Macaca mulatta: one gene and its partner. The main gene of each other region encodes a partner of the protein of the gene in region 2 in a complex. Links are inferred from orthologs where the notes say so. Each region holds a gene or a part of one and is shown on either strand. Other genes may lie near its edges. The genes, in order: CASP9 and APAF1.

Region 1 (3,816 bases), on a different chromosome or scaffold from region 2:
AGGGTTTTTAAATTATTATTTTAAAATGATTTTTAAATTATTACAATAGTGAGTTATAAAATAGCAATACAAGAGTCCTCAAAACCCAGTGCAGGTGTTCTGATGCATGTAAACAGACACCTCGCCAGGCACTGGTGGAGAACGGAGACCATTCTATTTCTGCTCTCAGCTGACGTGGCGCCACCATGTGGTAACAGCACCAGGTCACGCAGCCTGCGGAGGCAAAGCAGGAACCCAGCTCCAAATGGGCATCTTAATCACTGCATGCTGGCTTTGAAATCTTGCTGTTTTCTGACTTTTGTTTTAATGATGGAAATCTACATTATGCCAAATTTGGCTCATAGTTTTTTTTGGTTTTGTTTTTTTTTTTTTTAGAGACAGGGTCTCACTCTGTCACCCAGGCCGGAGTGCAATAAGGCAAACATGGCTCACTGTAGCCTCGACATCCAGGGCCCAAGCAATCTTCCTGCCTAAACATCCCAAGTAGCTGGGACCATAGGCACACACCACCACACCTGGCTAATGTTTCAAAATTTGTTATAGAGACTGGTCTCAAAGTCCTCGTCTCAAGAGATCCTCCCACCTCGGCCTCCCAAACTGTTGGGATTACAGGCATGAACCACATAGATGCTTTTATATGGTTCTCCTTTAAATTCAAATTAGAATTCACATGAGGTGCAACGGGACTGTGGGCTCTGTGCCAGGCTGGGGGCCTGGCTGTGGGGTAGGCCTTGCCCTCTACTCGGAGCTGACCAGGGGACAGACCTAGCTCAATACAATGAGACAGTGCTATGGCAGGGGAGGGACAGAGGCTGCAGGAGCACAAAGGCCAGCTAACCCTGACTTTGGCCAAGAAAGGGGGTGTTTAGGGAAGACCTTCTGTAGGTGGTGACAATAAATTGTAACCAGAAGGATGGATGATTAAGAGTCAGCCAGGTGCCAGGCACGATGGCTCATGCCTGTGATCCCAGCACTTTGGGAGGCAGAGGTGGGAGTATCACTTGAGCCCAATAGTTCAAGACTAGCCTGGGCAATATAGTGAGACCCCCATCTCTAAAACAAAATAAGTAAAAATGAATTTTAAAAACAGAGTTAGCCAGGGGATCAGGTAGAAGAGCAAGCAACAGCCTGGACATCCTGTGAAGGCTGGGCCATGCTGGGGGACTTGGAGCATGTCAGGCTGGGGGAGGTGAAATGGCAGGGGCCAGGTCACCAAAGCCCTTGGAAGCCCTGCTACTGAGTCCTAAGAGTGACAGCAGATATTCAAGTGACAAAGGCCCTCCGCTGTTGAGACTGAGACTGGATGGGGCATGGGAGGAGCACAAGAACAGCTAACCGTCCAGAAAGCAGGTATGCCCGCTCAGCCTGCATTCCTAATTCCCTTGCCCTTTCTGTCTTTCATTTGATTCATACGAGAAAGAGGGAGCGCAGGCTCCAGAGGAAGAACATTGCTGGACCACACACTATGGACAAGACAGGAGGTGAGGCAGAGCAGGGTTTCTATAGCCCCGAGAGTGGCAGCCTTCCTTGCTTCCTATTACTGCTGTCCTGAGGCAACTGTGCTGGCGGCAGTGGGGTGGGGGGCTCTTATGTGTCACTGGGTCTTCCGGGGTGGGAGTGGGGAGCAGTCTGGGTTTTCAGTTATTAAAATGAACCAGTCACTGTACACACACCAATTAGTGCATTAAATATTATTAAAGTTGCCCGGGCACAGTGGCTCATGCCTATAATCCCAGCACTCTGGGAGGCCGAAGTGGGCAGATCACTTGAACCCAGGAGTTCAAGACCAGCCTGGGCAACATGGCAAAACCCTGTCTCTACAAAAAAAAAAAAAAGAAAAATCAGCTGGGCGTGGTAGTGGGCAGCTGTAGCCCCAGCTACTCAGGAGGCTGAGGTGGGAGGATCACCTGAGCTTGGGAGTGGGTTCTGTTATTTTCCCCGTTTGCTGAGATGTCTAGAGATGAACTGGCCTAGGATTATGTGATAGACAGGTCAGTAGCCGATCCAGGGTTTAATCAAGTGTTCTCAATCACTTGTGGTCAAGTTATGGGCATGGGTTATGACAGTGATTTAATACAGTTCATGTCAAATTATAAATTCCAGGAGACTGAAACTCTGTTTTCCCCTATCCCCAGCACCTAACACACAGCCTGGTATATACAGCTGGTGCTCAGTAAACACCTACTGGATGAATGATGTGACCAGAGGCTGCTCTCCTAGGTAGCCTCCACCCAACTCTGCCAACGTGGAATAGGGATGGGGCAGTTGGATGTGCGCAGGAGAAATACACCACAGGTGCCCACGTCACAGCTGGACAAGCTGGACAGCACTATGGTGTAACAGTGCCTGCTTCTCTGGCAGATCAGGCTGGAGGCAAGGAACTGATATACGTTCTGAATGTCCCAGTCTGTGGAGAGTCTAGGGCAGAGGGGACTCCCTGGGACAGAATTTCTAGTGCTCCCTGATATTCCTGTCATGACCCACAAGCCAGGAATCCCCATGTTTCCCTCTCTTCCCTCTTTTTTATAAGAAAATCAGGTAACACTGTAGTAGGAGTTAAGTTTAAAATCAGAGCATATAGCAAAACTACAAATAATCCAAGTAATTCTTTAAAAAACAAAACAAAAATAGAGACAGGGTCTCGCTGTGTTGCCTAGGCGGGTCTCGAACTCCTGGCTCAAGCAATTCTCCTGCCTTGGCCTCCCAAACTGTTGGGCATGAGACACTGTGCCCAGCTCAAGTAATCCCTAAACATTCCTCAAACCCCCACAACTACGCTTTTGAAAATTCCAATAATTAAATTCTTTGGTTTCTCCGTGCAGTTTAGCTGTGGCCACCCTTTCTCTGGGATAGTGGAAACGGGGTTTGGTTGATGGAGGTCAGGGGAATGGTGACAAGAAAAATAAAAAGAGGTTTCTCCTCTCTCTTCTGTTTAGTTTCTTTTTTGCCAAGTCTCTGGAATTGAAGCTGCCAAAGTTACACGAGCCCATGATGCCACTGTGCCATGAAACTGAAGACTCCAACCTCTACAGAGCCGACAGAGCGGGGCCTGCTCCAGCCAGGCAGAGGTGCTGCCAAAAACGGACCACGTGTGGTACCCTCTGACTGCCTGGAGAGACCTCGTGGGCTCTGTGAGGGGCAGGCTGGAGAAAGAAGCAGGTGGTGGCTCCCTGTTCATCAGACCCACCCAGTGGGAGGCCAAGGAGCTGCTTACCCCCACCACAGGCCTGGATGAAAAAGAGCTTGGGCTTCCCTCCCAGGCTGGGGCAGCTGGTCCCATTGAAGATGTTCACAATCCTCTCGACCGACACAGGGCATCCATCTGTGCCGTAGACAGCCCCTGGGAACTGCAGGTGGCTGGCCTAGAAGACCAAGAACCCTGGTTACAAAACCAAGAAGTTGGAGTAGGAATCCAACAGCCTGTTCAGAAGTTTTGTGGGGGCCAAGGATTTGGAAGGTCAAAGCCAGGGGCATGAGGCTGATTGAGACAGAGCAGGTTGGTTCTGGAAAGACCCTAGTCAGCATCTATTCCAGGGGTCTCATCTCAAACTCATGTGCCTCTAGGGGCCAGACAGTGTGCCTGGAGAGTGCTGGCTGTGGCCTCTAGACCAGTGGTTCTCAAAGTTTGGCCCCTGCAGCAGCAGCATCGATATGGCTTGGGAACGTGTAAGAAATGCAATTCCCGGGCCCCACCCAGACCTCCTAATCAGCAGTCTGGTCCTCCAGGCCCCTCTGACTGAGGCAGCTCAATGCTGAAAGTGGCTGCTTTAAATCAATTCAGCTCAAACCTAAGTGCACAGAAATCACCTGGGAACC
Region 2 (3,816 bases):
ATTTTTTTGTAACGTGCAGCCACAGTGTGTCATTTAGACAAAAATGCTAGTGTATAATTATGCTATCAGGTTTTAGTTATATTTTTTCCCTTCATCTGTTCTAGTGAGTTTAGAAAAGTTTTTAGAGAGACCAATTGGGAATTGATATAGAGGTTCTTAGTTACTATGAATAAACACATTGTTTAAAAAAAAACCACTTGTATGAAAGGTAATGTTCTTTTAGGTTGCAACATTTGAAATTGCTAGTTTTATAGGTAAAAAATGGTTACATATCATCGTTACTGTATGATGCATTCTAATGCTAACCTGAGCTCAGTTCTAGTTTGGTTTTGTTGCTTAAAGACTGAGTTGGAAAATCCCATTACTTGGATAGTAATGGTCCCCCTTTTTTTTTTTAAGGCACTCAGTAAGTGGTGGCTGAACCTTTTATGGTAGGATCTGTAATTTTAATATGTTCTGATTTAGGGTTTGAGGAGAAAGAAGTCTCTAATTTTTTTTTTCCGTATTTGAATCAGCATATTGAGAAAAGAGTGTAGCAAAGAGGAAGACTCATTTTCCTAAACCTAGCTATCTATTTGTTTAAAAAAATTTTTAATTTGGTAGATTTTAAAAGACACTGGTGTGATTATCTTTTTAAAAGGAAGCTTAAAATAAGTGTCATTAGTGATTAATTTTTTTTTTTTAATTAGGTCTCTGTTGATCTTGGATGATGTTTGGGACTCTTGGGTGTTGAAAGCTTTTGACAATCAGTGTCAGATTCTTCTTACAACCAGAGACAAGAGTGTTACAGATTCAGTAATGGGTAAGATTATTCATTAACTTTTTAGTACCTTTATATTTAATTCAATTACATTTAAATATGTGGCATACCAAATTACTTACTTTGTCTTGTGATTTTTGTTTGCAGGTCCTAAATATGTAGTCCCTGTGGAGAGTTCCTTAGGAAAAGAAAAAGGACTTGAAATTTTATCCCTTTTTGTTAATATGAAGAAAGCAGATTTGCCAGAACAAGCTCATAGTATTATAAAAGAATGTAAAGGTATGGTTATTTATTTTGTTTATGAGGAGGTTATAGGGAGTTATATAATTTCCCTTTTGTAAATTAAGCTAACAAATGTGATAACTTAGCACATGAACATCCAAGAACTTTTCTGGGAGATTTAGTATTTTAGGTTCTTCTCTGATATCTTAAATGGATACATGATGTTATGGTATTTATTTATTCATTAAAATAATATTTACTATCTACCCACAGTGTGTTAGAGACCACATTAGCGAGAGAAGTGAGACACAGATGTGACCTCTGCTGTCAGAGTTAAAAATATAGTGAGAATCAGATTTAAAACTTGTATTTGCTTGGGATTTTATAAAAATAGTATTCTAATTTGGTAAGTTAAAACTGGTGTCTTAATTTGCATTTTTCGTTAGTGAAGTTAAACTTTTTACTTGTTTATTGAATATGTTTTAAGAAATTATCCTTGACTTTAAGAAATTATCCTTGACTCACTTTTCTTTTTTGATATAAGCATTTTTAACTTATTTCTAAATACTCTAAAAATTGAAACTATTAGCTCTTTGTCATATTTTTACAAGTATTATTTCCCAGTAAAACAGTTTTTTAATGTAAAATTTATATATAGGATCTCGCTATGTTGCCCAGGCTGGTCTTGAACTACTTGCCTCAAATGATCCTCCTACCTTAGCCTCCCAAAGCGCTGGGACTACAGGCATGAGTCACCATGTCCAGCCTGTTTCCCAGTTTTTTGTGTACTTTTTATTTGTTGTATTCTTTTGACATATAGAAGCTTAAAATTTTATACAGTCAAATCTATCAACTCTTAAAATTATTTCTTTCATTGTTGCTATGCTTGGAAATACCTTCTTTTTCTTCTTTTTCTTTTTTTTTCTCTTTTGAGACGGAATCTCACTCTGTCGTCCAGGCTGGAGTGCAGTGGCGTGATCTTGGCTCACTGCAACTTCTGCCTCCCAGGTTCAAGCAGTTCTTCTGCCTCAGCCTCTCGAGTATCTAGAACTACAGGCATGTGCCACCATGCCCGGCTAATTTTTATATTTTCAGTAGAGACGAGGTTTTGCCATGTTGGTCAGGCTGGTCTCAAACTCCTGACCTCAGGTGATTGCCTGCCTCGGCCTCCCAAAGTGCTGGGATTATAGGCATGAGCTACCATACCTGGCCACCTTATTTTTCATTTTGCCATCAAATAGAGACACAGTTTTGTTTGTTTATTTATTTATTTTTTGAGACTGAGTCTCACTCTGTCGCCCAGACTTCGGTGCAGTGGCGTGATCTCTGCTCACTGCAACCTCTGCTGCCCAGGTTCAAGTGATCCTCCTGCCTCAGCCTCCTAATAGCTGGGATTACAGGCATGTGCCACTGCACCCAGCTAATTTTTGTAGTTTTAGTAGAGACGGGGTTTCACCATCGTGGCCAGGGTAGTCTTGAACTTCTGACCTCGTGATCCACCTGCCTCGGCCACCCAAAGTGCTGGGATTACAGGCCTGAGCCACCACACCTGGCCAGTTTTGTTTATTTTTGAAGAAATCTTACACTTAGGAAAAATGCTTGATTTGTAGTTATTACAAAGGGTGATGCATGTCCATTTTGAAAATGTGTGAAACTATAAAGAAAAAAATAGAAATTATCCATAATCTGATAATTATTAGCATCATGAGAGTATTGCCTCCAGTCTTTTAGAACAAAGATTTTAAAAATTGAGATTATGTATACATAGTTTTGGATCTTGCCCTTATTTTTGAAGAGCCAGGGTCTTGCTCTGTCACCCAGGCTGGAGTGCAGTGACAAGATCACAGCTCACCGCAGGCTTGAATGTCTCGTCTTAAGCAATCCTCCTGCCCCTGCCTCCTGAATAGCTGGGACTGCAGATACTCACCACCTACCTGGGTAATTTTTAATTTTTTTTGTAGGGATAGGGTCTCACTATGTTGCCCAGGCAGGTCTCAAACTTCTGCCCTCAAGCAATCCTCCCACCTCAGTCTCCTGAAGTGCTAAAACTAAGACGCATGTCACCACACCCAGCTGGACCTTACCCTTTTTTTTTTTTCTTTTGAGACGGAGTCTCGCTCTATTGTCCAGGCTGGAGCACAGTGGCGTGATCTTGGCTCACTGCAAGCTCCGCCTCCCGGGTTCACGCCATTCTCCTGCCTCAGCCTCCTGAGTAGCTGGGACTACAGGTGCCCACCACCATGCCCCGCTAATTTTTTTGTATTTTTAGTAGAGGCGAGGTTTCACCACGTTAGCCAGGCTAGTCTTGATCCCCTGACTTTGTGATCTGCCCGCCTTGGCCTCCCGAAGTGCTGGGATTACAGGTGTGAGCCACTGCGCCTGGCTGACCTTACCCTTTTTATATATCTTGAGCATTTTCCCATGTTGTTAAATATTTTTTTGAAAAAAATTTACCAGTGGCATAATATTGATATATCTTAATTTATTCAACCACTTCTCTGTTATTGGACATTGTTTACATTATTTAAGATTTTTTTCACCGTTCTAAGTATGCTGTGATGAATATCCTTAAATTTAATCATTCTTTTTTTTTTTTTTTATTTAAGACAGGCTCTCACACTGTTTCCCAGGCTGGGATGCAGTGGTGCCATCATGGCTCACTGTAGCCTCAGCCTCCTGGACTGAAGCAATCCTCCTACCTCAGCCTCCTAAGTAGCTGGTACTATAGGCACGTACCACCACACCTGGCTGATATTTCTAATTTTTATTTTTAGTAGAGACAAGGTCTCATTATGTTGCTCAGGCTGGCATATATATATATATATATATATATA

What was found.
Region 1: the proteins of APAF1 (region 2) and CASP9 are in contact, whole or in part, in a crystal structure (PDB 4RHW), measured with the Homo sapiens proteins. The link is inferred for Macaca mulatta from reciprocal best matches to the Homo sapiens genes APAF1 and CASP9. Residues at the interface, in NP_863651.1 of Homo sapiens: Thr22, Ser23, Tyr24, Met26, Asp27, Ile30, Ser31, Ile37, Glu40, Glu41, Arg44; in NP_001220.2 of Homo sapiens: Asp23, Trp26, Asp27, Leu30, Arg36, Pro37, His38, Glu41, Gln44, Arg45.

Annotation. Positions count from the first base shown.
Region 1 is NC_133406.1:225,535,313-225,539,128, reverse strand, and holds part of CASP9 (caspase-9), read right to left. Parts: exon of another isoform or gene 3,363-3,816; coding exon 3,215-3,362; exon of another isoform or gene 2,937-3,214; intron 1,482-2,936; exon of another isoform or gene 1-1,481. UniProt on the Homo sapiens protein: Involved in the activation cascade of caspases responsible for apoptosis execution. Binding of caspase-9 to Apaf-1 leads to activation of the protease which then cleaves and activates effector caspases caspase-3 (CASP3) or caspase-7 (CASP7).
Region 2 is NC_133416.1:105,957,709-105,961,524, forward strand, and holds part of APAF1 (apoptotic protease-activating factor 1), read left to right. Parts: intron 1-689; coding exon 690-802; intron 803-907; coding exon 908-1,039; intron 1,040-3,816. UniProt on the Homo sapiens protein: Oligomeric Apaf-1 mediates the cytochrome c-dependent autocatalytic activation of pro-caspase-9 (Apaf-3), leading to the activation of caspase-3 and apoptosis. This activation requires ATP. Isoform 6 is less effective in inducing apoptosis.